Arabidopsis thaliana: one gene and its partner. The protein of the gene in region 2 interacts with the protein of the main gene of each other region in a pairwise test. Each region holds a gene or a part of one and is shown on either strand. Other genes may lie near its edges.

Region 1 (4,963 bases), on a different chromosome or scaffold from region 2:
TCATTACCATTTTTATTTGTCGACTAGTCATCACCCTTTTGTATTCCGTAATGTTAATATTACTGTAAACGCCTTAAACAACGTTTGTAGTTCACAAATCATTACTAGACTACTAACATTTTCTTTATTTCAGTCAAATCAGCTGCTTTTTCTCAGGAGTATATAGTATATTTTTGTAAAGATTTTTCTGCATTACTAAATACGAGTCTTAATTTTAGTGTCGACTATAAAAAAAGTACTGTTGTTGTACTTTCTGACAAGAAAAGTAACATGTACTTACTGCCGCAACTTGTCAACCATCTGGTGATTTATTTCTCGAAACATAAATATTTATTGTATGGGGTCTCTGATGATCTGAGCAGCCATATTTCTGTAAGCCGTCGGCTACCTTTGAATTGTCGGTGCCCTTAAATGCCCACACACAATTAAGATCATCCTTTTAAAAAAAGCCCAAAATAAAATTATTTGGCCCAAGTAAAGAAGTGGGCCGGAAAAAAGGGGTAAGACGCTTCCGTTTATTGTCAACGAGTTTACGCAACCCAGATTTGCTTAGTGATCACATTTCTTTGCTGACCCGAATTATCTGCAATCGACTAAACCATGTCTAGGAGCATTTACTCTTAACTCTCTGTTCACCTAACTTAGGATTTCAAGAATGCTTAATCATATTAATGTTGTGGATTTATGTATTTTCAAAGTCGATTCATGAAAACTATTGAAGATTTGGGTTCTAGTTAAAGCAAAAAAAAAATGAATGCACGCTTATGTTTCTTGAAATCACTGAAAACCTGTTTATAAAATGTAAATTCATCATAATCACATATGGTGTGGTGTGTGGGCAACTTTAAGTCTTTAACTAAGAAAATCTAATGTTATTGATTGATCAAATCCCTTCTTGATTATGGAAAAATGTTCCACCTAAACATTAAGAAAACTCTACTTGAGATGAAATAAAGCAAAAGAACAGCCAGAAACAAGAAGACACATAGAGACCCCTAAACAACCAGAATTAGAAAAATAATCGATTCCATCAATCAGAAGCCACTTGACTCCCAGAGTTATCGCAGACCAGTTCGATCTTCGGCTTCTTTCTCTTTGTGCAATACCCCGTCGACGACAACCTAAGAAAGATCAAACCAACAAGTTTGTAGAATGCTCAGTAACAATAAAAGCTTGTAACAGAAGTTAGGGCTTTGTTTTGCAGTTTACCCCAACTGCAAGGAAGTGTCGGAATGGTGCTCCTCGTTGTCATTCTCATCCTCTTCTGATGAAGAGCTCTCGGGATCGGCTTCTGGGCTAGAATCTTGAGGCCTTTCATTCAACACTTTTGGTCCTGAACCTCTCCCCAACATCTCAACCTGAGGGCAAATTAGAATTGAACTCAGTTATGACTGGTGAAGACCAGACCGAGCTAATATAAGGGTTTTGATGAATCTTTACCTGTTTGCGCAAGATTTGGTTTTCTTCCAATGCTTTTTTCTCCTATTAATGACAAGGAAACAAAACAAGAGTGTTGAGATTCAACATTGTATACGAATTGATAATAACAATGATTCTGACATTTGAGGAGCTCTGTTCGTACCTGTATCCTGGATCTCTCAATCTGGTTGAGCAGGATTTGTGTCTGAATCAAAACAAAACTTTTCAAGACAGGGATGAATCAAAAATCATCTCTCGATGTTTGAATAAATTAGTATTTTGTCTTCACCTTTTGATCCTTGACACTATGCAAGCTCTCGTTCAACTGGTTTTCAAGAGAAATAAGATCCGGGAAACTCATACCTTCAAGCTCCTTACCCTTAAGTCTCCTGTTCACGAACAAGTAGAAAAAACCGATGAAAGGCCGAAACTTTAACCAAGAACAAACGCAAGTTCTTTTTCCAGTGAGATACATACTCAATTGCAAGCTGTAATCTTTCAAGTTCCCCCTTCATAGAATCATCATTTCGCAACTACAACAACGAATACCATGTAAGGTAAACCAAAAACTTGAACACAGACAAAGGGATACAAAAATAAATTCTTGGTAGAGAGTCTCTGCTTACCACAGCTTCATTTCCATGTGAAGCACAAATTAGAAGTTGGTGTTCTCTTTGTTGTTTATGCTCAGTGGACGCAGTAGTGTATCCATATCTAGAAAGAATTTGCTCCATACTTCACAAATTGAACAAAACTCTCCGTTAGTAAAACCCCGTAATTGGTTTGATTGATCATTACAGGAAAAAATCATGAATCTAAACTTCTGCATTCTCAAATTTCTTCATAAAGATAAGATAAACACTTCTATGGTCTAATAATCTTAGAAATTAACGATCTTTCAGAATTCTGGAGTTGAGATTCTAACAACTGATATATACATAGACAAATGCATCTCCCAAATTCTGATACCAAAGATAGTGACCAAATTGTAGTTTCATCAACAGTTAGGGTTTATAAAACACACAAACTAATCCGATAGCAAAAATCGTAATCTCAATTCTCCAAACCTTAAAATCATAACCCATCAAAATTATTTCATCATCAACCTAAAGATTTAGCCAGATTAGGATATAGATAAACAGGGGTTGCTCTGTTTTCATTTACTTTAGACACAAAAACCCATAAAAATGCAAAACTTTTTATTTCCCCAAAGCAAAAAAAAAGAAGCAAAATCATGAGATGATAACTAATATACCAGACGCTGGAGAAATCGTAAATCTTGCCGGTGCTGGAGAAGATGATAAGAGCAACCTCGGCGTCACAGAGAATCGAAAGCTCTTTAGCCTTCTTGATCAAACCGTTTCGTCTCTTAGAGAAAGTGACTTGACGACTGTTGATATTCTCAATCTTCTTAATCTCAATCCTTCCTCTCCCCATATCTCTGAATAACAAAATCAATCAACCTGGGCTCTGTGGAATGAAAAAAAAAACAGGGTAAAAGAAGAAGAGAAGAGATATAGAGAGAAGAGATTATGATAACAGAGGAAACAAGTAGAGAGATTTCTTAAGATTTTGTATATATAGGAGGAGGACTAGTAGAGGAAGGGGTTTTCTTTAGAAATTGATCAAATATTGGGAAAGGGGCTAAGGAAGGAAAATTAGGACCAAAATTAGGGTATTATATAAAAAGATGGGAGTTACTATAAGTAGCAATTTTCCATATTTGGTGGCTTTGCTAATTTGCTTTGCTTGGTGTGAGTGGCTGTTTTCTTCTTTTGGAACTTTCTTCCCATTTATAACGCCCTTGTTTTGGTTTTGGATCTCTTCTCTATTTCGTGTATCGCCTCCCTTTTTTTTTATCTTCTAGGGTTTTTCTTTTTTGGCTTTGCTTTTAGGTCATCATGCTTTTTATTACGTTTCTAAAACTTAATCTTCCATAATTTTATTGTTTTATTGCTTTACAGAAATGTTACTTTTTATATAGTCAAATAAAGTTGATCCCTATAATAAGGAAATATTTGATCAACTATTTCATTTTATTATAGTCTTTATTTTTAGTTGTTTTGGATACTGTTTTATTTAATAACTGATATTTTCATATCTTTAAAAGATTTATGAAATAACAACTACTGTGTTCTTTTTTTTCTCTTTAGCTTTGTTTTCTTGTTGGTTGAGATTTTGTTTCTTTTTTTTGGGTTGAGATCTAGTAGAATGGCCAAACGTGGCCGTATTTGAAGAAGAATATGATAAGAAAAGCAAAAGGTGTGGCTTTAACGTTTCTATAGATAGTAAAATCTCACAAGGAAGATTACTTTCCCCTCCAAACTGAGTTTGTTGTATTTTTAGTAAAAGAAAAATATCTCTTTCTAGAGAAGACTTTCTATTGTAACCGAAATTATATTTTGAGAATTACACTGTATTTGTGGAATTATCTAAACATTAGTAATAATAAATAAAATTAGTTCGGTTGTGAAATTTTGGTGAGCAAATATCTTTTTATAGATATGGAAAGTATTTAAGTAAATATAAATACATGCTATACAGCTCAACACTTTTGTTTTGCAATGTAAATAATTCAGATGCGTGTTTCTAAATGTAGTGTTAGGTCATTTAATCGTGCTCTTTTTGTTTTTGGTCAATATTCTCCCTTTTCCAAAATTGAAATTAAAACTAAGCTAGAGAAAAACAAATAATTTACTAAAAAAATATTTAGTTCCACTTTAACCAATGTGATTTACACATTCTCAATTCAAGATAAATCTTTAAATTATACTCCATAAAACTTTACACATTTTTTTTTAACACTTTACTATCTTTTGTTGTTGTCAAAAAAATAATATCTCGTATGAATCGCGTTGAATCATCTTTCGAAATTTATAAACTACCATCAAATACGAAAATAACGTGATTTCTTAAGATTTTGTTTTCTTCTACGAAAGGAACAACATTTATTTGTGGTGAAATTTTGTTATAGAAATTCCCATAAATGAATTAAAAACCCAAAGATATTTTAAAAGAAACCTCTTTGGGATATTACTCACATAAGGTTGGTTTATATACAAAATAAAAGAAAGTTCAATATTTTTTTTTCCCATTAACCAGACACTTCTGTAACATGCTAAAAAAGAGAATGAGCCACTTGTCGTAATTACATGCAAATCTGCAATTTGTTTCCATTTTACTTTTCTTCGTGCAGACTTCTAGATCAATTTTAATCATATTTGTTTATGAAAAAAACAATGAAATTTGATGATAATTATAACAAGCTACTCTATACAGTATAAATTGAAAATATATCGAATATATTCTTATCAAATAGAAACGGAAAAAATCTTAACAAATAGATTACTAAGCAAAATTTTTTTTTGTAAAACACACAAAATTGTAAAAAAGACGTATGGAGGAGGTATCATGAAAGATTAGCATGTTTGGGACTTTGGGCCTATAAAGCAAATAATATTTGGGCCCTTAGACCCAGTTGAATGTGGTATGAACTCAGTGGAAAAAGTGTGAAAAAAACTCAGTTTAGTTGGTATTCTCCGGT
Region 2 (4,450 bases):
GATGCGAATATAAGCGGCTTTGATTATATAACGTATTATTTTAATTTTTTTCCTGCTTTGTTGAAATTTGCTGAGGTAGTTATTGCATTTTGGCCAGCTCATACACTGCTAATAAAGCAAATAATCTCTTAAATTATTCTATAATTAGTTAATTACTTACTCACACGGTGTGTGTGTGCATGATGTGTAATTGTGTATTATACACTCTAGAAGAAGAAAGTTTTATTTGGAGATATGTAATTTTTTAATTCCCTGACTATGATTTCTTTTCTTATAGAACTGATACACACTTCACTTAAGTCAATTTAACCTGGTTTTTATAAAGGCTAAATGTTAGATTAGGATGCTAGTGGTGAAATCAAGTCGAATTCTTTCGACATGACCACGTTTTGAATTTAAGAGAAAAAGTACTGAAACATTCAATTCGTTAAGATTTAAGGTTTATTGCACCGTTAAGTTAGCTGCCACTTATCATTAACGTCGTTAACTGCACATGACGGTCACGTGGGGTCAGCAATCTGTTTTTTTTTTCTTACCGCGGAAAGAGGGTAAAATTTCCCGCGAACTCGCCAATTGTAACCTTTTACGGTTTTACCCTTATTTTTTAACGGACTTAACCACATTGGTCGCCGTTGAATTTCTTCTCATATTGTTCATTGAAAAAACCATATCACCCAAAGCCCAAGGGCCAAGGCCCAAGGATAATGATAACATTAGTCTACTACACTTCTGGCTACACTTCTGGACATGAGTCCATGACTTTTCAAAGAATGTGACATTTTTTTTGGTTGTTTAAAACCAGTACAAATATGAAAAGAAAAATACAAAGATGTTTGAGTACCTTTCACAAGTTATGTTGTGATGTGTGGCTTGTAAACGCATATGTTCCTATGCTTTCGAAGTGCCTCGGTGATCTCTTTCGATATGGTTCACAAGATCTACTGGATCGCGGAATCCTCTGCTACATCTAGGGCAGACATCGACCGTGACATTGCCATGATTCTGCTTCTTGTTCCTCTCATGTGTTTTCTCTACATGTTCCACAAGAGAAGTAACCGAAGAGAATTTCGCACCGCACTGTGGACACACCTCCACGATACCATTATCTTTGCTGCTCGAAAACTGTAGCTTCTGGCTAATGTCATTACCGAGCCTGCTAATTCCTGCTTCTGCTGAAGATAGGAGATTAGACCATCTCGAAGAAGAAGAAGATGATGAAGTTGATGGATGAGCTTTGTTGGGTCTTGTTGTCTTAGCTTCTTTTCTGGTGGTACTACTACTCAAGAAACCCATGAATGGGAGTTTTCTTGGTCCAGGGCAAGTGTGATCAGGTCCAAAACGATGTTTCAAGCAGTGATCGACATTGCAATCTCGGCACTTGATGGTGTTGGAGAAAGTTAGGTACTCCTTGCATCTTGGAACGGGACATTTCTTCTTCTTTGTAGCTTTTTCGTAGTTTGATGGGTCACAGTCGGTATTGACATGTTTCTCCCATGTTATATTTGGGTCTTCGTTTGGGTTTAATCGGACTCCTTTAGCACAGAGTGGGCAGATAACTACAGTCACATCTTCTCTATCGCCTTTTGGACAACTATGTTTCATATAGCTTCGATGATCCAAACAAAACACCTGTAAAAATTTCCAATGTAAGACTTTTCCTCCAAACCAAGGAAACATTTTGACACTAAAGATTCAGAGAAAACCAGAGCGCTAACTCAAAAACAAAATTCAAATCGTCAACAGTCAATGGATCTAGCAGAAACATGAGAACAGACAACCGAACCAAGAGAGCAGACACGAATCATTGTTCTCTTGAATCAAGAAAGCAGTCAAGAATCATCACATTAGTTACGAGCAGAATTTTTCTGAGACAAGAATGAAGAAATTGGAATTTACCAAAATACCGATAATTAAGCTCAAAATGTCAGTTAACTTAACACCTAACGATAACCAAAAGGATTCAAGTGATAAATTCGATATTCGAGACTTCAATTCAATCTTCTTCTTAGTCCTAAAGTACAAAATCGAAACCAACGAGAAAATAAGTAACAGCATGATTATCGTTGATCCCAGAGATATAGGATTCAGTCAGAGTCAAACACCATTCGCGAAAACATAAAAATCGAGTCTTTGCATGTGAATATAAACAGAGAGAAGGAGAGAAGGAGAGAAGGAGAAAGGAACCTGTAGGCAACGGTCGCAGGTGAAAGGCAAGAAATCGATTTGCTTGCAAACATCGACGGAGCAGTGTTTCCCCAGATCTGGAAATTCCGGAGTCCCCATTCGAATTCGAACAACAATTCCGACCAAAAATAGGGTTTATATCCGGCGAGAGAGAGAAACTCAAGGAAAAAAAGAAATAGGATTCTGCAGATTTAGATGAGCTGAAATATCGCAGAAGCCGTGAAAGCTTTCAAATATGTGGGAAATGTCAAACTGATTTCTTCTTCTATATTCTCAGTCTTTCTCTTTTGTCTATGTTAGAACAATCCAATTAAAAAAAAGTCAATACTTTGAATCATTCGGAAATTTTCAGGAAATTCTTTAACTTTACTTTCCAAGAATCAGAACCTGTCATCGAATGTTCTTCACAGTAATGGTTCGTCTATTGAACATGTTATATCAAACAAAGTCTATATCATAAACCAAACTTGTAGAGGTAGAATATTGATGAAAATTAAAATTGGCACCACTGGATTAACTTTTCTCAACAAAAGTAAAAGCAAAACTAGAACATTAAGATCCATAAGCAAAAATAAAGTAGTTTGGAAGAGGAGATGAAAACAGAAGGTGCACAATCCAGCAACATATACTACCAAAGGTTCAACCAAAATTAACTCATGAAGGATTATAATCCAAAAAGAACACAAGGTGGAAGCATTGTTTAGGCTTGGTCTTCAACCACTGGGTCGGGTTTGCTGGTCGAAAGAGCCTTGGACGCCAGGAAATCAGTGTGCTCTTGGTATGGTGATCTAGAGAATCTTGTCTCCTTCCAGAACTCTGGGGTAAGGAATCCGTAAGTCTTCTGAAGGCAATCGAATGTAGCCTGCAATTTAATCAACATCATGAAAACAATTATTCATCCGTGAAAAAAACTAAGGTACAAGTGAATACTATACATGGATAAAAAACTGAGGGTATATTGTATTCAAGTTACAAAACTCGTGAATTAGCAAGAAAACAAACACATCATAAGCAAGTGAAAACAGTCAAGTATCAAGAGATGCCAAACTGAATCTATTCTTCATTTGCTACATTAAAGGTTTCCTACAAAGCGATCATTCATTACAGCTAAAGAGAATCACTAGACGAAAGAGAAACACTTTTTCTCTTCCATCAATACACCAATAACATTTCCAGAGATATTTCATCAAATACAGTGTGAAGTCAGAATTTTTCCTAACCAAATGGACTCCTGGAACTACTTATATAGCTACTACTGTACTAAAATGACAGAAAATGCTCAAATTTCGAATAATCAAATTGTGATTTCAAAGAAACTACCAGAAACCAATCAAAAGGAAACGAATCTCGTGTATAGGTAACTACATGAAAGTAAAAAAGAACAAACCTTGACGAAGTTTCCAAGAGTTTTGGTGGATCCCCTGGAGGAAGTGAAAACATCATCAATTCCAGCGAATTGAAGAACCTTCTTAGGAACTCTAGCAGCCACAATACCAGAACCTCTAGGAGCTGGAACCATCCTCACTGTCACAGATCCACACTTCCCAGTCACCTTACAAGGAACCGTATGTGGCTTCCCAATCTTGTTACCCCAGTAACCTCTCCTCACTGGAACAACAGACAGCTTAGCGAGAATAATCGCTCCTCTAATGGCCGTAGCAACTTCCTTAGAGCATTTCACTCCCAACCCAACATGACCATTACCATCTCCAACGACAACAAAGGCCTTGAATCTAGTCCTTTGACCAGCCCTGGTTTGTTTCTGAACCGGCATGATTTTCATTACCTCATCCTTCAATGTTGGACCGATGAGCATATCAATGATCTGGTACTCCTTAACCGGGAGTGAATGAAGATAGATCTGCTCTATCTGCTTGATATGACCAGCCGCCACGAGACGACCAAGCTTGGTCACTGGAACCCATTTCTCTTCTTCACTGGCACGCCCTCCACGACGACCACCACGGCCTCCACGTCCACGCCCTCCACGATCTCCACGACCTCCACGGCCTCCGAATCCTCGTCCGAAATCACCACGTTCTCCACCACGCTCAACACCACGTTCTCCACCACGTTCGGCCATTGTCGAAGAGTAGTTCAAAGAGCTGCTGAATCAGTGGGAGACTGCGATGTATTGCTTTGCGTGAGGAAGAGAAAACCCTAGTTGCGGCAAATTGGGATATATATTGCTCCAGCTGCTACAATAAGGATTTTTAGGGTTTCTAAAGGCCTTGTTGGGTTTGTTTTGGTAACTTAAACAGAAAGT

What was found.
Region 1: the proteins of AT2G41835 (region 2) and AGL18 interact in a two-hybrid assay, tested with the Arabidopsis thaliana proteins (one large-scale study listed by BioGRID).

What each region holds. Positions count from the first base shown.
Region 1 is NC_003074.8:21,231,803-21,236,765, reverse strand, and holds AGL18 (AGAMOUS-like 18), read right to left. Parts: upstream 3,295-4,963; 5' UTR 2,857-3,294; coding exon 2,675-2,856; exon of another isoform or gene 2,155-2,674; coding exon 2,046-2,154; intron 1,953-2,045; coding exon 1,897-1,952; intron 1,809-1,896; coding exon 1,709-1,808; intron 1,625-1,708; coding exon 1,583-1,624; intron 1,483-1,582; coding exon 1,441-1,482; intron 1,359-1,440; coding exon 1,210-1,358; coding exon of another isoform or gene 1,206-1,209; exon of another isoform or gene 1,122-1,205; coding exon 1,031-1,121; 3' UTR 788-1,030; downstream 1-787. UniProt on the Arabidopsis thaliana protein: Probable transcription factor involved in the negative regulation of flowering, probably through the photoperiodic pathway. Prevents premature flowering. Downstream regulator of a subset of the MIKC* MADS-controlled genes required during pollen maturation.
Region 2 is NC_003071.7:17,457,132-17,461,581, forward strand, and holds AT2G41835 (zinc finger (C2H2 type, AN1-like) family protein), read right to left. Parts: upstream 2,561-4,450; 5' UTR 2,284-2,560; coding exon 2,185-2,283; intron 1,630-2,184; coding exon 889-1,629; 3' UTR 568-888; downstream 1-567. Other genes in the region: AT2G41840 (Ribosomal protein S5 family protein), read right to left, coding at 2,885-3,046, 3,572-4,267. UniProt on the Arabidopsis thaliana protein: May be involved in environmental stress response.